Xenopus tropicalis: one gene and its partners. The protein of the gene in region 1 interacts with the protein of each later gene in a biochemical or structural test. Links are inferred from orthologs where the notes say so. Each region holds a gene or a part of one and is shown on either strand. Other genes may lie near its edges.

Region 1 (3,515 bases):
CACTTACACTATCAAAAAGGATACACAGTCTAACACTGCCAAAGGTAAGAGAACAATAAATGTGGAAAATTGCAAAAGTGCTTAGAGGAACATATGTAAATGCACAAGAGCCATTAATATCTTGTAAATTATATCCTTTTAAATGGTGCTTAGCGATTGTCATTGTCGATTTGTAAAGCATATGTAAGATGTAGGGGATTATTTGCTGTAGGCTAAGTGAGAATTTTTGTCCCCCCAAGAATTTTCTTGTTTTCTCTTTATTTATGATGTATTACCTGAATTTCTCTATCCCATAAACTTACCAGTTCTGAGGTGGCAATATCTAAGTTATATCCTATGTGCAAAATTTTGTAGTTTTCAAAGTTCCGTTTTTATGGTGTTTAAATGTTTTTTCAATCATCTTTTGCACTTTTCCATGATTGAGATGATTGCCACAAACAATGTTTTACTTGCAGCTACCTTAGGGGTAAGCACTTTCAGGAAACCTCTCGCCCACAGTATTGCAGACTTACTACAGGCGACAAATCTCCCTGTGCATCAGTACCCTAAGATGTTTTAAGGATGACTGCTACTCCAGATTCCAATTAATATACACTGGGCTAAAAGGGACCACCTTTTATATCTTTTAATGTGTTTTGCAGTACATTTTGGGATTAAACTCCGTACCTTCAGTATCCTGTGATAAATGTTTTTTTTTTGTTTGTTACACTAAATATTTTTTCAATTTTGTGATTTTAAACATCTGTTTCTAGGTTACTGGTCATGGAATAGATGTTGGCTTTGCTGATTTAAACTAAGTTTTGTTTTTTTTAATTTCCTTTTTACAGTTGTCTTGGAGGAGCAGATAATGTAAAATATTTAAATGAAGTTGAACTTTTCCAGTCTATTGATCCCAACGTAAGTTAACATACTGGGTTTTTTTTTTCTTAAAAGCATGCGTTAATCAGTTCTAGGATCATTTTCTTGGTCTTTATATATAGTGTTTTAAATGTACTATTTTTGTTCTGCAATTATCTTGAGACTTAAAAGGTTCATAAGTAGATTAAAAATATTATAAATGATACAGGTAAGAAATCAAAACCTGTTATTTGAAAGACTGACAGTCAAACTATACGCCCTTTTCATCTGCTGAACGTACTTTGTGCCTTTTTGTTTTCTGTTATTTCTGTTACTAAACAGGAATATGCCAATTTCCACTTTAGTACTTCATGTCACTTTGGTCACAAAAAACTTACTATTACTAAGATTACTTAGATTACTAATATTATAAATATTAAAATTTAGATGTGGAAAGACTGCCATCGTTTATCCCTGTCTCAAACATTCAGAGTTATAGATCTGGTAAAATTCTGGTCTCATGAGTAATCTACATTCCATTTGCCAATTTTTGAAAGTTAAATCGCCGGTGGGATGGCATACACGGCACGATTTCAGTGAAATCGCGGAAGTTGCCTTGAGAGGAAACTTCCACGATATCACTGAAATCGCGCCGCCGCGTATGCGATTTTCATTTTTGCCGGTGGGATGGCTTTTCGGGGAGATTGGTCGCCCGCAAACAGGGAGATTTTTCGCGGGCGACTAATCTCCCCGTGTGCCAGAGCCCTTAGTGTGTGTAAAAGTCTACTCTAAGCAGAAGAGCATGCAGGTGGGCTGTAAGAATTATGGATTCTTGCCATTCCTCTGATCATTTTTCACCTAGTTTGCAGAGAAGAACCTACAACAATAATTTAAATATTGAATAAACCCAATAGTCTTGCTTTGCCTCCAATAAGGATTAATTATATCTTAGATAGGATCAAGTACAAGGTACTGTTTTATAATTACAGAGAAAACGGAAATCATTTTTAAAAATTAGAGTTATTTGCTTATATTGGAGACTATGGGACTTGGCCTTTCCATAATTCAGAACTTTCTGGATAGCGGGTTTCCAGATAAGGGATCCCATACCTGTATACTTTATATTTTTAAATTACACTGTTTACATAGCAAATAATTCACTCTACCAATTAAAATTTTATTCTTAAGCCAACAAATGTATTTTTTTAGCTGTAATATTGGTGTGTAGGTGCCATCTCAGTGCATTGTGCCTGAGTCTGAGCTTTCAGAAGAAGCCAGCGCTACACATTAGAACTGCTTTCAGGTAACCTATTGTTTCTCCTACTCCCATGTCACTGGAGGAGTCCCAAGCCAGACTTGAATTTCTTACTATTGAGTGCTATTCTGATGTCTACTGGGAGCTGCTATCTTGCTACCTTCCCATTGTGACTGAAGTTTATTAGAGCACAGGTCACGTGGCTGTGGCACCCTGGGAAATGAAAAATATGGCTAGCCCATGTGAAATTTCAAAATTAAATTTAAAAAATCTGCTTGCAATTTTATAAAGGTCAGTGCAGGTTATTATGGTGGAGAAGTTCTATTTACTGATGTGTTTTGGAAAAAAACACTTTTTGCCATGACCGTATTCCTTTAAATTGACAAGTCTTTATTTGTTTTTTTTGGATTTTTTTTAGGAGTCCAAACATAAAAGAACAGACCGATCTGTTTTATGTTGTTTACGAAAAGGGGAGTCTGGACAATCGTGGCCACGGATTACAAAAGAAAAGGCAAAGGTATGTTATTTTATTTAATAACTTTAGCTGTAGTGGTTTTGATGGAAAAAGAGTCTGTGAAGGTTAATATTACCTTTATGTAAATTGCACTGGCATTTTGCAGACCTTTCAGAACATTTCCTTACAATTCCATACCTCGGACACAGCACTAGGGTCAGTTTTGTTACATGCCAAGTAACCTACCAGTGTATTAAAGGAACAGTAACACCAAAAAATGAAAGTGTATAAAAGTAATTACAATATAATGTACTGCTGTCCTGCATTTCTATAACTGGTGTGTTTGCCTCAGAAAGACTACTATAGTTTATATAAGTAAGCTGCTGTGTAGCCATGGGGGCAGCCATTCAAAGGAGAAAAGGCACAGGTTACTTAGCAGATAACAGATAAATCCTCACTATAAGCGGCTTATCTACTAGTTTTTCTGCTATGTATCATGTGCCTTTTCTCCTTTTTTCCAGCTTGAATGGCTGCCCCCATGGCAATACAGCAGCTTATTTATATAGTAGCTTTTCTGTAGCAAAAACACCAGTTTTTTTGCAGAGCAGCAGCACATTATAATTTAATTACTTTAAAACACTTTATTTTTTTGATGCTACTGTTCCTTTAAAGGTTGTGGGTGTAAACTGAGGCTAATGGCACAGATGAAGTGTTTTGTCTGTTAACATCTGGTAGAAAAAAAGAGGCCTTCAGACTGTTTTGCTTCTGGCACCCTTTAGAGGAAATGTTAGGTCTTCTCCCCCCTTTAGCTCATAACTAGTTACTGATTTATGAAAACATTATTAATATTAACACCTATGTAAAGCAGCGACTTACCTTTTAGGAATTTTTTTTTGTTCTTCAACTCGAATATTATAAAAAAAAATGTAATTATTGAAAAAAAAACCTTATAGTAGAAAGCACTAGCCT
Region 2 (3,974 bases), on another chromosome or scaffold:
TTATCTCAAAGCCTCACAAGGGCTGCACTTTGCCCCCGGCCCCCCAGCACCAATGAATCTGCAGATCTCTGTTTCCCAGCAGTAAGAACAGGGCCGGCCTGCACCCTATCTGCCCCACCAGCTCTATCTGCCCCCACCGGCACCTCTATCTGCCCCCACCGGCAGCGCTATCTGCCCCCACCGGCAGCGCTATCTGCCCCCACCGGCAGCGCTATCTGCCCCCACCGGCAGTGCCCTTCCCACTGCCCTGGGAATTAGTGAATAACCCCATAAATCTCCATTTGAACATATCATCTAGTTTAGGGGGTTACTGCCCCTACAGGGATTACTTGGGGGCACTTAAGCTTCCAGTCCTCCAGGTAGATATGAGCCCTTATAAAATGCCCCTGGCCAATCAGCACGCTGCCTTGATATGGGAGGAGGTAGAGCAGTTTGCAGCAGGAATCATTATAAAAACAAGTGCAGAGAGCAATTTGGACCCAAATTAGATGTTTTCACCCCACACTGCAGCCCCCAGCGCCAGAGGGGCACTTGCGCCCCCATTCATCAGCAGAGGCAGGGGGGGGGGCCCACGGGGGAGTGAGGGAACGTTTGTAAATGACCCCTTGAGTTTCACCAATTTTAGGCGCATGAAATGTTATAATGACTTATACAGAGTGCAGGGCCCATCCCTATAAATACAATACAGGGCAGGCAGTGCCATGGGGCCCAAGGTGCCCACACATGGGGCAGATTCCAGTTGCCAATTTGGGTCCTTCAGACTGATTGGGCACCTGATCTGCCGCTGTATGGGCACAGGCCTCCCCGACCAACATCTGGCCAAATCTCAATTGGGCAAATCCACTTGTTTGGTGATCTCGTTAAAGAAAGAAGCCAGGAAGTGATTGGCTCATACAGGGGGAAGTGACTTGAAACAAAGAGATGAGTGTGTCACACACACGGGGGGGGGGGCAAACACAAGCACACAGGGGGGGACACAACAGACACACACACACGGGGGGGACACATACAGACACAACACGCACACACGGGGGGGAACACCAGACACACACACACAGACGGGGGGGACGGAGCAGAAGCACACACCACCACAAGGGGGGGGACACAGACAACACCACACAACACGGGGGGGGGGGGCACACAGACAACACACACACGGGGGGGGGGACACACACAGACACACAGACGGGGGAACACACAACACACACATTACACACGGGGGGGACGAACAGAAACACACTGTCCACACGGGGGGGGGACACAGAACACACACACGACGGGGGGGGACACAGACACAACACACAGGACGGGGGGGACACAGACACACCACATACAGACGGGGGGGACAGCAGACACACACACACACGGGGGGGGACAGGACAGACACACACACACAGCGGGGGGGACACAGACACACACACACACAGGGGGGGACACACAGACACACACACACACAGACGGGGGGGGACACAGACACACACACACATACCAGGGGGGGTCACACACGGGGACACACACAGGGGGGGGTCACACACCAGGGGACCACACAGGGGGGGGGGGGCAACACACACACGGGGGGGTCACACCACACAGGGGGGGTCACACACACAGGGGGGGTCACACACAGGGGACACACACAGGGGGGGGTCACACACACACAGGGGGGGGGTCACACACACAGGGGGGGTCACACACACACACACACACAGGGGACACACTAACAAGTAGTTGTATGGAACAGACTGTGGGTGCAGGGAAGCTACGTCAGGGGCACAAGAGCGGGAAAGTTCCATTTACTTTTACTTTCATTTCTCAGCCCCAGCACTCCCAGCGCTCCCAGCCCACCCAGTGCTCCCAGTGCAGGATAAAAGTACCCACAGTGTCGCTGTCACATTGTAACAAACAGGAGAAATACGGCCCCCGTCTGTGTCACTCAATAGGGGGGCTGCTGAGCAACTGACACTTAGCCTGTAGTGGCAAGTAACCCGGGGACCCCCAGCAATTATACAGTAACCCCCCCACAATGGTACAGTAACCCTCCCACAATGGTACAGTAACCCTCCCACAATGGTACAGTAACCCACACTAACCCCCAGCAATAGCTACAAAACCCCCCCAGTAGTGATACAATAACCCCCAGTAGTGATACAATAACCCCCAGCAGTGATACAATAACCCCCAGCAGTGATACAATAACCCCCAGCAGTGATACAATAACTCCCAGCAGTGATACAATAACTCCCAGCAGTGATACAATAACCCCCAGTAGTGAATTACAATAGCACCAGTGAGTGGATACAATAACCCCCAGCAGTGATACAATAACCCCCAGTAGTGATACAATAACCCCCAGTAGTGATACAATAACCCCCAGCAGTGATACAATAACTCCCAGCAGTGATACAATAACCCCCAGTAGTGATACAATAACCCCCAGTAGTGATACAATAACCCCCAGTAGTGATACAATAACCCCCAGTAGTGATACAATAACTCCCAGCAGTGATATACCCCAGCAGTGATACAAAACCCCAGCAGTGATAACATACATAACCCCCAGCAGTGATACAATAACTCCCAGCAGTGATACAATAACCCCCAGTAGTGATACAATAACTCCCAGCAGTGATACAATAACCCCCAGTAGTGATACAATAACCACCAGCAATAGCACAAACCCCCCCAGTAGTGACACCGTAACCCCCCTGCAATGGTACAATGTATCCAGTTACCCCTGCAAGTTGCCCCCATTAGAACGGTTATAGAGTTACCATTTGCTGAATCTGATTGTTTTCTGCCCCCAAACTGCCGCCTGTGGGGCCCCTGCCGTGCCGCTCGCTCCCCTCCCCTTTAAGGAAATAGGGAAATGCTCAGACCTCCCCCCCCCCCAGGCTGTGGGATTTAACCAGCTTTATTGTTAACCACTGGGTGTAACAAACCCTCAACTAGTAGTGAAACAGAGTCACTATATCTCTCTTACTCTCTCTCACTATCTCTCTTACTCCCAGGAGCAAATATATATATATATCTACGTTACATACATACCCCTACAGGGAGAGAGACCCCCAAACAAATATTAATTGGTTTAATTCATATAAAGGACAGGTATATTATACTATATATACACGTAATAGGAGATATTATCTATTTATACACATTACCAACCATGTCCTGATGTTTAAAAACTATTTGGAACTTGTTGTATACATTGTGTGTATATAAATAAAGGATAATGTACCCCCTACTGTAAATGATAAGGATATTAGCAGTCACTGAGGGGTTCTGTGCCCCCCATATAAAGGCACAAGGCTGCAGGCTGAGTTATACAGGGAACTCTGAGTATCACTCATGTATTATAAGGGATAATGTACCCCCTACTGTAAATGATAAGGATATTAGCAGTCACTGAGGGGTTCTGTCCCCCCATATAAAGGCAAGGCTGCCCGGCTGAGTTATACAGGGAACTCTGAGTATCACTCATGTATTATAAGGGATAATGTACCCCCTACTGTAAATGATAAGGATATTAGCAGTCACTGAGGGGTTCTGTGCCCATATAAAGGCACAAGGCTGTAGGCTGAGTTACTATTGCACACAGGGATTCCCCTGTACTAAGCACAATTCAGCAGGAACAGCCCCCTAAGTTTGCTCATAGCCTGTACAGAGAAATACCATAAAACTATGGCACATAGGGATTCCCTGTACTAAGCACAATTCAGCAGGAACAGCCCCTTAAGTTTGCCCATAGCCTGTACAGAGAGATACCATAAAACTATGGCACCTAGGGATTCCCCTGTACTAAAGCACAATTCAGCAAGAACAGCCCCCTAAGTTTGCTCATAGCCTGTACAGAGGAAATACCATAAAACTATGGCACATGGGGATTCCCCTGTACTAAGCACAATTCAGCAGGAACAGCCCCCTAAGTTTGCCCATAGCCTGTACAGAGAGATACCATAAAACTATGGCACATA
Region 3 (4,162 bases), on another chromosome or scaffold:
GGGATCCCTTATCCGGAAATCCATTATCCAGAAAGTTCCGAATTACAGAAAGACCATCTCCCATAGACTCAATTATATGCAAATAACTCTAAGTTTTAAAAATGATTTCCTTTTTCTTTGTAATTATAAAACAGTACCTTGTACTTAATCCCAACTAAGATATAATTAATCCTTATTGGATTAATTATATAGCAGACTTAAGGTATGAAGATCCAAATTATGGAAAGATCCCTTATGCGGAAAACCCCAGGTCCAGAGCATTCTGGATAACAGGTCCCATACCTGTACAAGGATCTCAGTCCACACACCACTGGCTTTTTTGCAAAATTGTTACTTGGTTTTTAATATAAACTTTATCAAGATAATTCATCAGACTGATATAACCTGCAGCTCTCTAATTACAATAACATGATATATGAAATGATTATTGGAAAGGGTTGCTCAACAAATGCTGAGAAGCAAAGGAAGGGGGGTCTATCTATATGAATCCCTTACTGGGAAGCACCTTCATGGATGTTAAAATAACACATATAAATAAACATCAGTAAAATGCCCATTTGTTTTCTACTATTATGCCTAACACCCTGACTGCTACCTACACTTTCACCTCAGTAGTCTTACAAGGCTCCTGCCCTCATGTTTAGCTCATTTATTCCTTCTCCACATCCCTAGATCAGTGCTGACAAAACTAGTGACTCTTCAGCTGTTTGCAACAACAGTTCACATGAACATCTGAGAATGTTAGCAGCTGTACTTTATATCAGAGCAAAGGCCCAATTTTTAACACTTCTGATCTCCTAAATCCTGACGGTTTCAGTGTGTGTGTGTATTTATATACATTTTATATAAGCTTTACATTTAAAGTACTTATCACTGACTTCAAGTGACTTCCCACTTATAAAATATTCCTCCTATATGTCCCCTGTAATAAAGCTTTGAAGTTGAAGAAGAAGCTCACTAAGGCTAGATTAATAAAAGCTCCAGGCTGCCAAATGTAAATCGGTCATTGGACTGGGTTAAGTTTACCAATGTTGAAAAACAAGTTGCCCAAGGGAAAGGGCATGTGGTAATAACCAGAGATATAGCTAGATAGATAGAGCTCAGTGATGTCAAATATAAGGATAATAGGAATACACTAAATACACTATATATAAGTTATACATAGTTAGAACAGATACAGGTACTCACCACACTCCAAATAAGTTCTGGGTGCTTCCCAAACAAGTCAAATATCTCCACGAACTGGAAGCACACACGGAGAAAAAAGAAGGGTTTATTGATGATTCACATCATTCACCACATCGGTGCGTTTTGGTTCGCCACAGCGGTTCAAAGAGAAATGAAACATGTTGATGTTTATACACAAACACACAAGCCTCCACAAGCTAATGATGATACTTATTACATGAATCATGTCACGGTCAGTGAAAATAATCTTATCTACTTTATCAACAATTTGTTTGCCTTGCACAGGTACATGTGTAAACTTGTAACTTCAATATCAGAAATAACAAACTTGCATTCTTAAAGGGACACTATACATTGAAATATACAGGCACTGGGCTGAGATGCCCACTCTGTGGTGGAGAGGACACAGATCATATACTGTACCTAGATATGAAGGGAGTTATTTTATATATATTATATCTTTATCTTATACAATAAAACTGACTGGATAATAAAAATTAGGACAGAAAACATAGCACTCAATCTATATCTTTTACCTTCCTAGTACAAGAAGTAGACTGTCCCTCTACCACAGTGTATTATAGGATTATGATCTAAATGAAAAATGTGTGCTTCAGGATACTTAGGGAATAATGTACCCCATGCCAGCCATTAGTGAGTTACATTATTACATGTACAAGTCCCTTGTGGGCTGTGCAGATTTTTCACGAGGCTTGTACAGTGCTCATAGTGACAGAATAATACATGTATCAAAAACACGAAAAAAACATTCTATTCTATGTTCTGTACTTATTAGTAAATGGTTTCCTCTAAGTTCCATGGACTGTTAAAAAGCACCTGTACTCAACACCCTGGTCTACTTGTGTTTCATACCATGGCCAACATACACAAATGTACACGAGTGTATGATTTTATAATTACTTATTAGAACACGTGCCTAGATGCTAGTGAAATGTGCACATATGGACAAAGGGCACAGCTGCACCAAAGCATGTAACTATAATTCCTGCCATAAAGCAAGACAGGACTGCTGTGGTATGGCAGGAAAAACAGACAATAAAATAACTACCAGGAAACATTCTGATATGGAAACACAAAATCAAACATTTTCAAATTTTACATGCTGCTTTCAGAAAGAAATAAACAACAATTTACTATTTTAAGGAAGTGCTTGCAGAAAATATATGCTCATAGGAAGTTGGTTTTTTTTTTAATAATTTACCTTACACGAATTAGAACAACGGGAGCTGATAGAGGTGCCTTACAGGAAACTACAGGCTGCCTGTACATAAGAATGAACTTATAAAAGCTAGTTAGCACACACTAGCCTGGGTACTCAGTGCCAATGTGTTCAAAAGTCTGGTACAAAGAATATTTAAAGCAGAAAAGAACACATTATAAAGGTGTATGCCACGTACATAGAGAATGTAGCGCCTCTTGTCATTACAGCACATCCGACATAACTTGTTTTCCTACCCGGCGGGCATATAAATACATTATGTATGTGTGTATATAAAAATACCGCACTAGGATTGTGCACACTTACCCAGAGACAAGGCGGCTATAGCGGAGAGTACAGTACAGGCTGCTCCGTTCCTTCCTTGCTGCTTTTGTGTCTGGCGTGTTTTTCCAAGACAGCAACAACACAAGCGCTGACCTCACACAAAATAGTAAGGGAGGGGGGTTTAATCCAGAGAGACAGCCTGATTGGTCGAGCGCTCGCCTATCCCAAGCTATCTCAGGGGAACCTGTAAACGAACAATACGGAAACGTTCCGACCAATGGGCTGGGCCTTAAACGGAGCAACTGGTGACGTAACGCCATTCTGCCAATCAGAAGCGGAATGCTGGCGAAGTTACCTCTATATCTCCATGGCAGGGATATTCCTGCTGGGTCTCCAGCTCTTACATAGTTAATGAACTAGTGCAGCTATTAGGAGTTCGTGACTGGAGGCTGAAGACAAACGATAGACGAATTCTCTGGGAATGCAGTTTCTGCATGATATAGCTCCCAGCCTTTACCTTGCAGCAGTAGAGGCGGAGTAATAATATGTTTGGGAATGGGCGGGAAATTTGTATATTGCAGCGGGAGCTGATGTGCGCATTGTTTGGAGATATGAGAAGGAAAAGGTCGGGTGACGTATATGTTGCACGTTATAGTTATATTCATTAGTTATAATTAGTTATAATGAGGAGGTTAAGTATGAAAGCAAATCCTACTCTGTAGTATTCTCCTGTCAATGGGCACAGGGGGTGGATTTTTTTTCTCAATAATACAAACTTGAATGGTATTGGGGCTTTTTTAATAGAAATTTTATTTCTATTTATTTGACATTTTTATTGAAAAGGAATGAGGTGTAAAATATGTGGAACTGGATCCTTATATCACCTTGGGGCCATGGGATTAGTTGGAACTTCTGGAAAAACATGATGGGTTGAGAAATTCATCAATAAATCATGAATCTACACAACTGTAAAGAAAAAAAATACATTTCATTACAGTAGCAACAGCTCCCCTTTAATAGAAGAAAACAATATCTTAAATGTAAAAAACAATGAATAGGTGCACTACTCAATCAGGTATTGTATGGAACCATAATTATAGTATTTCCCTATCAGTATAGGCTCATATAGTGAAAAATGTACCCCTATTGTAAAATATAAGGCTATTATAAGTCACTGGGGAGTTCCACTACAATATAGAAGCACAAGGTTGAAAGCTGGGTGCTTTTACATTGGAAGAGGAAATACAAGACCCAAGAAATTTGTAATGTGACCATCAAGCAGGATAACTTGAATATAATTAGGCAGGAAAAAAGATAGTTTGTACTCAATAAAGTAGGCAAGAAGTCCAGGCACGCTGCCTGGGACCAACGATGAGAACTGATAAATTGCTGTCAGATTAAATAAAGTGGGACAGAAAGTTACAATAAGTAAAAAAAGAAATGGTTATGTAGAGCTATTTCAACTAATTA
Region 4 (3,977 bases), on another chromosome or scaffold:
TGATAAGTCCTGATGGAAAATTCCCCTCAGTCAGCTACTTCCTTCCCTGTATGTGTGCTTCTCGACCCCTTTGTCTTTAATTACTTATTTTTATCATTTTTAATTCTCTGATCCTGTCTCACTTAGTTCTGGTCTCTCCTCCCAGATTAATGTGAAATTAAGAAAAGTCTTATAAAGAATGCAGCTATCAAATATGCAGCATGCACTGATGTTACATAGACTGCATGTGCACAATCCATCCTTAAGTTTGGAACCACACTCTGAACAAGTGCGTAACTAATAGATGTCAATCAGTGACCCACTAAAGAATCTTAGCATTTACACATTAGTGCTCCCTCACTGATCACCTGACATCTAAAAAAATGAAGATTCCAGCTACAACAGGAAGATGTGTGGGAGTAAAAGATACAGCTCTGCCAATTCATTGGGCAATGTAACTTAGCATGTAAGCCTGCCCTTGGTTTGCAAATAAACCAGAGGGTGGCTTCTAGATATTAAATACCATATTTTTTTTTATTATGTGATTTTCAAATTATGAATACTAATAGAATTATTATGTGCTGAAACATTTGCAACTCCAAGGCAGGGAACATGCAGTCTACCATGTTTATAAACAATACTCATGGGTCTGTTAGAATGCAGTCATTTCACCTACCCAGTGTGAAAATCAGGCATCCTAAAGAGCACTTTCTAACTAGGGGTCATCTCCTTGCCCCTCTTACTTATAAGGCAGACGACAACCACCAAAATACCAATTTATATACAGTAATGTATATAAATACATAATGTATTTATAAAGTGCCAACATATTCTGCAGCACTGCATAACAGAAAAGTAAATAGAAATATACAAGATAAACACCCCCCCTTCCAACAAACTTAACTCATTAATGTGTATAAGAAATGTAAAATCGCATCTTTATTAGGGCATTGTTAAGAACAAGAACACTAGTCTGCAAACTGAACATATTCCTGATGAGAATACCCTATACAGTGTCATGGTGCGATTTTGTACCCAAAATGCTTTTCTGCACAAACAGATCTTATGGGGCTTAATGTGACCTGACACCATAGCACTGCTACTATATACCTGCAGCTTCTATTTTGGACAAATCCTTCTTGGCTCTGTATACATTTGCTTATTCTATATGTACTGTGTTGCATATATCTTTAATATATTGTAAAGCTTAAGCCTCAATTTGTGTGTTGGTGTTCTGCTCTTTAGGGCTCTGGCACACGAGGAGATTTGTCGCCTGCGTTTTTTCCTCCTGGACCCACGAAGAGATTTCATGCGAGTTGAGCTCCAGGCGATCTGCTACCCATGGTACACTCAACAGTTAACCCCCCCTCATGTTTACTCAAGTCGCTCAGAAAAGGGTCTGTGTGCGATTTGAAACAGCAGGTGATTTGAAGTAACCTTGTATGTTTTGACGCTGGCGATTTCCATTGATTTATTTCTTGTCGCCAAATCGCTCTTTTAAAAATCGCCGGCGACAAATCTCCTTGTGTGCCAGAGCCCTAAGGCTCTGAGCGACTTGAGTAAACATGAGGGGGGGTTAACTGTTGAGTGTACCATGGGTAGCAAATCGCCTGGAGCTCAACTCGCATGAAATCTCTTTGTGGGTATTGTCGTGGCGACTTGTCGCCAAAGCTCCAGGGGGAAAAAACGCAGGCGACAAATCTCCTCGTGTGCCAGAGCCCTTAAGCCCACACTGAGCATTCATATAACATCAGACAAAAGTAAAACCAACTATGAAACTTGATTAAAATCAAATGCTATTTACAAGTCACCAGATTGGTCTGAGGAACTATTGGAGCCCATTTGCAAAGCACTAGTGAAGGTAACAATACAGCCTTTCTTTGGATTAAATATATATATATATATATATATATATATATATATATATATATATAGAGGATAAGTGTGTGCATGTCACATTACACAAATTACAGGTGGTGTAACTTCCCAGTTAGATTAGCTGGCTTCCAGGCTATCACATTGTACATTTAGCTGGGAGAGTCATGCAATTAACTAGTAGAAGCTGAACAATATATATTACGTTCAAATAGCCAGCTAAAACGATATGTTCTGAAATAGTGTACATGTACTTGGGATTTCACTTCGAGAAATGAACATACTCGGCTTTTCCTAAAGCGGACCTGTTGCAGTTGTGGCTTAAAAAGTCTTAGGAGTATATTTATCATGCTGTGTAAAAAGTGGAGTGAAGCATTACCAGTGATGTTGCCCAGGGCAACCAATCAGCAATTAGATTTCAACAGTTAGAAAATCAAAGCAAAGCATCTGATTGACTGCTATCAGCAACATCACCACTTTTTACACAGCATGATAAATATACCCCTTATTGTAGTAATAAAAGTGATAAAACATTTATAAACCAATATTAGAAATTCTGCAGTTGTCGTGTCCATAGCTACAGTTTTACTAAGATAAACTGTGATGCTCTTAATTTATTGTAATGCTAAGAGGAACCGGAAGACTAGGCACTGCTAAAATACTAATAGAATAGCCCAGACTTGCAACCCATGATGCACGCATTGATCAAATAAATGCCCATGACAGTCCCACACTAGTGGATCCCCCAAAAGGAAGAGTAGACCCCCAGACCTGTGGCCCCCGCTGCGCGCATTGATAGATCAGTCCCATATCAGTGTTAGACAATATCAGACCTCAGCTAAACAGCGGGGGGCGGGGCAAGTAAATAAGATGCGACGAGCAAAAGAACGCTGCTGCTCCGATCTCTTCCAACCGCGAGTTGAACAGACTAGATGCTGCGGCACCAAACGACGCGACCAACCTGTTCATTGGCAGAGGGGAAACTGTAGCAGAACGCTGCTAGCGCGTAACTCGCTGCTGGCCGGTGACGTCACTTTCGGAATTAGCGTCACGAAACCAGGAAGTTTGGACTGAAGGTTCCGGAAGTGACTGACGGCGGCGGAAAGGGCCGGATAGTGGCAATATTACATAGAAAGAAGCGACCGATTTTGATATTGGTGTTAATATGATCAAATCATACCATTGTTTTGTTCTTACTTTTATGCAGGGTTTGTTTTTCTGTACACCTGGATATCTATTTGCGTTGCTGTAGTACTGTACTGTCTGTGCAATGCTGAACAGGAGCTCTTTCACCACCCTGGTGGTGGGTGTTTTTATCGTATATGTGGTGCATACATGCTGGGTGATGTATGGTATTGTTTACACAAAGCCTTGTGAAAGTCACAGTGACAACTGCATCAAGCCATACCTTTCAAAAAGGCCCAAACTACAGGTCAGTAATAGATACAACTTGCATTTGAGCTTATATTGTGAATGAAAAGTTGTGTAAAGCTAGACATTGGGTATGAATTATCCGCTGAAACCTAAAGGTTTCTTATTGTTATCTAATTATTTTTGATATTCTTAAATATTGCTATTAGCTTAGCATGCATAGTAATTTTTATTTTTCAAATTCTCTGCATTGATCATCGGAGAGTCTGACTTTCTGGTATACAACATGATTAACAAGACAGCTGTTAGCAAATGTGTTAATTTTGCATGCACATGTTTCCTTCAAGATGATTATCAGTCTAAATTGTGTGCCTTATTGGGAGAAAGTTCAACACAGTAAATCCAATAAGCAATAATTCCCTCCTCACACACTCGTATTCAAGACTTTGCAAGGGCTGCCCCCCTTCTCTGGAATTCACTCCCACAAACTGTCAGACTTTCTCCCAATCTCTCTGCCTTCAAGAGATCTCTAAAAACACATTTATTTAGAGAAGCGTACCCTAATCTAGTTTAGCAATACCCTGTGCCACACCTCTCACAACTCTGGTCATGCCCATTCCCACACCTTGTGTCTCAACCCTTTCTCCTTGTAGATTGTAAGCTCTTTTGGGCAGGGCTCTCTTCACCTCTTGTATCGGTTATTGATTGCTTTATATGTTACTCTGGATGTCCAATGTATGAAACCCACTTAT
Region 5 (3,515 bases), on another chromosome or scaffold:
CAATAGTCTCCTCCCACCTCCCTGCAGCACCAGTCTGTCCCACAATAGTCTCCTCCCACCTCCCTGCAGCGCCAGTTTGTCCCACAATAGTCTCCTCCCACCTCCCTGCAGCACCAGTTTGTCCCACAATAGTCTCCTCCCACCTCCCTGCAGCACCAGTCTGTCCCACAATAGTCTCCTCCCACCTCCCTGCAGCGCCAGTTTGTCCCACAATAGTCTCCTCCCACCTCCCTGCAGCACCAGTTTGTCCCACAATAGTCTCCTCCCATCTCCCTGCAGCACCAGTTTGTCCCACAATAGTCTCCTCCCACCTCCCTGCAGCACCAGTTTGTCCCACAATAGTCTCCTCCCATCTCCCTGCAGCACCAGTCTGTCTCACAATAGTCTCCTCCCACCTCCCTGCAGCACCAGTTTGTCCCACAATAGTCTCCTCCCATCTCCCTGCAGCGCCAGTCTGTCCCACAATAGTCTCCTCCCACCTCCCTGCAGCGCCAGTTTGTCCCACAATAGTCTCCTCCCACCTCCCTGCTGCACCAGTTTGTCCCACAATAGTCTCCTCCCACCTCCCTGCAGCACCAGTTTGTCCCACAATAGTCTCCTCCCATCTCCCTGTTTTGCCATGTACTAAGTCTTTTAATTTTCTAAATAAAAGTCGATATTTAAAGGATTCCCAGTGTGCATCGGTACATCTATGGACTCTGTTGAAATTGCTTAAATCGGTAGCACCTGGGTTAGCTGGATTTGCTAAGGAGTGCTGAACCATCGTGGTCTGTATATATATATATATAATTTATTATGGTTACTGTGACACCATAGGCTCCGGTGCTGACTTACCTTATTGACAACTTTCTGCTGCTGATTGTGCTTCTGCCGCAGGCTCGCTACCTCCCTCCACAGGGCCTCATTCTCACTGCAGGGCAGGCACAGTGTTAAAAAGCATGATGATTAGCCCGCCCTCACTCCCAGGCCACACCCTCACCCCCAGGCCCCTCCCTCAGATAGATGTACACCCACACTCCCTCAGAGACAGCAGCCCTGAGTGACAGTTGATTACTAAAGGAAGGAATCCACGGTACCTGCCCCTGGGTGGCCCGTTAGTGCCCCATTTGCCCCCCGGGCAAACTCACTGTTTCATGGAGAGGAGGCGGCAGTCGATGGTCTCCTGTTTGCCTTTCATGCTCTGTACGTCCGTTAGCAATTTGCTGACACTGTCCTGACGCCCCTTCACCTCCTCGCTCTTGGTGGCAGACAGCTGCTTAGGGAGAGAGAGAGAGGTCTCGGGGGTCACAGCCGGGCACTCTCACACCTTCCTTACCCCCCACTCCCAACATTACCCCCCCCGTGCCTCTCCTCTTACCTTACTCCCAGTAGTAACAGCACCGGCAGTTGCACTAACTCTTTGATTTCTGAAGGAAACACCGTTACTCCCCAATTCTACTGAGTATCGATACTTCCAGCAGCACTGAAACTATTACTCTGCACCCAAAGTTACCCATATACCCACGGGTATTACTGTACCCTCAAAAGTACCAACACAGCTGCCTGTTACTCTGCTGCTGAGAGCATTACTATTTCTAGTACTCTGAGTATTTCCTAGTAACCCGATTACTCCACTGCCCCATGAGTACTGTATTACTGAACTGTACCCAGGGGGGCAGGGGTAGGGGGGTAGGGGTATTCGCCCCTCACTCACTTGCCTTGGTACTCACGGTGTTGACTTTGCGCTTGATGTTCTCCAGAAGTTGCTCCTGACCCCGGATGAAATAGGGGTGCTGGAACTCTGTGTCATCTCTTTCAGGTTTGACCAAGCCCCCCTGTTCAATATGGACGACCTTCCGAAACCCATCTGAGAGAGAGCAGAACATCCTATGGGTAACAACTACTACTCAGAGAGAGCAGAACATCCTATGGGTAACAACTACTACTCAGAGAGAGAGCAGAACATCCTATGGGTAACAACTACTACTCAGAGAGAGAGCAGAACATCCTATGGGTAACTACTACTACTCAGAGAGAGCAGAACATCCTATGGGTAACTACTACTACTCAGAGAGAGAGCAGAACATCCTATGGGTAACTACTACTACTCAGAGAGAGCAGAACATCCTACGGGTAACTACTACTACTCAGAGAGAGCAGAACATCCTACGGGTAACTACTACTACTCAGAGAGAGAGCAGAACATCCTATGGGTAACTACTACTACTCAGAGAGAGAGCAGAACATCCTATGGGTAACTACTACTACTCAGAGAGAGCAGAACATCCTACGGATAACAACTACTTCTCTGTGAGAGAGCAGAATATCCTATGGGTAACTACTACTACTCTGAGAGAGCAGAATATCCTATGGGTAACTACTACTACTCTGAGAGAGAGCAGAACATCCTATGGGTATCAGAATCCAGCTCGTACATAGATAAATAACAAATACATAGTGGGAGGAATATCCTGGGCCCAAGAGCTTCAGCACCAGCTACCAATCAGTGCAGAGGGAATCCAGACAGCCCCATACCTGGAAAGGCCACAGAGACAGCCCCCATCACATCCCAGACTTCACTCCCATAGAAAAAGAGAGGAAAATCCTCATCCTACTGGGGGAAGAGACAGTAACAATGGCTGCTCAATATGTAACAGAGCGATGGGGCGGGGAGGGGAGAGAGACTTACACATCCTGATGTAAGAGAGACTTACACATGTTGATGTGAGAGACAGAGAGACATGCTGATGTGAGATGGAGAGACATGCTGATGTGAGAGAGACTTACACATGTTGATGTGAGACAGAGAGACATGCTGATGTGAGAGAGACTTACACATGTTGATGTGAGTCGGAGAGACATGCTGATGTGAGAGAGACTTACACATGTTGATGTGAGAGACAGAGAGACATGCTGATGTGAGAGAGACTTACACATGTTGATGTGAGAGACAGAGAGACATGCTGATGTGAGAGAGACTAACACATGTTGATGTGAGAGACAAAGACATGCTGATGTGAGAGACATGCTGATGCGAGAGAGACTTACACATGTTGATGTGAGAGACAGAGAGACATGATGTGAGAGAGACTTACACATGCTGATGTGAGAGGGACTTACACATGCTGATGTGAGAGACAGAGAGACATGCTGATGTGAGAGACTTACACATGTTGAGCTGTCGGACAAAGCTGGCCATGTTGTTGTGCTTGAAATACTTTGGGAGAACCTCTTTGGCAAACTGCCCCTGGTCAAACACATGGAAACTGTTCCCTTCCTGGGGGAGAGAGGAGAGGAATGGTTAGAGAGTCAATACCAAGGCAGGTTAGAGAGTCAATACCAAGGCAGGTTAGAGAGTCAGTAACAAGGCCGGTAAGCGAGTCAGTAACAAGGCCGGTAAGAGAGTCAGTAACAAGGCCGGTAAGAGAGTCAGTAACAAGGCCGGTAAGAGAGTCAGTAACAAGGCCGGTAAGAGAGTCAGTAACAAGGCCGGTAAGAGAGTCAGTAACAAGGCCGGTAAGAGAGTCAGTAACAAG

The links.
Region 2: of the proteins of ptges3 (region 1) and casp7, one has a biochemical effect on the other in vitro, tested with the Homo sapiens proteins (2 studies listed by BioGRID and IntAct). The link is inferred for Xenopus tropicalis from reciprocal best matches to the Homo sapiens genes PTGES3 and CASP7.
Region 3: of the proteins of ptges3 (region 1) and casp3.2, one has a biochemical effect on the other in vitro, tested with the Homo sapiens proteins (2 studies listed by BioGRID and IntAct). The link is inferred for Xenopus tropicalis from reciprocal best matches to the Homo sapiens genes PTGES3 and CASP3.
Region 4: the proteins of ptges3 (region 1) and tert form a complex in vitro, tested with the Homo sapiens proteins (2 studies listed by BioGRID). The link is inferred for Xenopus tropicalis from reciprocal best matches to the Homo sapiens genes PTGES3 and TERT.
Region 5: the proteins of ptges3 (region 1) and hsf1 form a complex in vitro, tested with the Homo sapiens proteins (2 studies listed by BioGRID). The link is inferred for Xenopus tropicalis from reciprocal best matches to the Homo sapiens genes PTGES3 and HSF1.

Annotation. Positions count from the first base shown.
Region 1 is NC_030678.2:138,777,667-138,781,181, reverse strand, and holds part of ptges3 (prostaglandin E synthase 3), read left to right. Parts: intron 1-827; coding exon 828-897; intron 898-2,510; coding exon 2,511-2,609; intron 2,610-3,515. UniProt on the Homo sapiens protein: Cytosolic prostaglandin synthase that catalyzes the oxidoreduction of prostaglandin endoperoxide H2 (PGH2) to prostaglandin E2 (PGE2).
Region 2 is NC_030683.2:3,670,177-3,674,150, reverse strand, and holds the start of casp7 (caspase-7), read right to left. Parts: upstream 2,812-3,974; 5' UTR 2,775-2,811; coding exon of another isoform or gene 2,772-2,774; intron 1-2,771. UniProt on the Homo sapiens protein: Thiol protease involved in different programmed cell death processes, such as apoptosis, pyroptosis or granzyme-mediated programmed cell death, by proteolytically cleaving target proteins.
Region 3 is NC_030677.2:44,843,792-44,847,953, reverse strand, and holds the start of casp3.2 (caspase-3), read right to left. Parts: upstream 2,816-4,162; 5' UTR 2,735-2,815; intron 1,243-2,734; 5' UTR 1,189-1,242; intron 1-1,188. UniProt on the Homo sapiens protein: Thiol protease that acts as a major effector caspase involved in the execution phase of apoptosis. Following cleavage and activation by initiator caspases (CASP8, CASP9 and/or CASP10), mediates execution of apoptosis by catalyzing cleavage of many proteins.
Region 4 is NC_030682.2:58,825,092-58,829,068, forward strand, and holds the start of tert (telomerase reverse transcriptase), read right to left. Parts: upstream 2,810-3,977; 5' UTR 2,665-2,809; coding exon 2,626-2,664; intron 1-2,625. Other genes in the region: clptm1l (cleft lip and palate transmembrane protein 1-like protein), read left to right, coding at 3,125-3,286. UniProt on the Homo sapiens protein: Telomerase is a ribonucleoprotein enzyme essential for the replication of chromosome termini in most eukaryotes. Active in progenitor and cancer cells. Inactive, or very low activity, in normal somatic cells.
Region 5 is NC_030682.2:152,310,955-152,314,469, forward strand, and holds part of hsf1 (heat shock factor protein 1), read right to left. Parts: intron 3,257-3,515; coding exon 3,148-3,256; intron 1,847-3,147; coding exon 1,698-1,846; intron 1,253-1,697; coding exon 1,128-1,252; intron 911-1,127; coding exon 835-910; intron 1-834. UniProt on the Homo sapiens protein: Functions as a stress-inducible and DNA-binding transcription factor that plays a central role in the transcriptional activation of the heat shock response (HSR), leading to the expression of a large class of molecular chaperones, heat shock proteins (HSPs), that protect cells from cellular insult damage.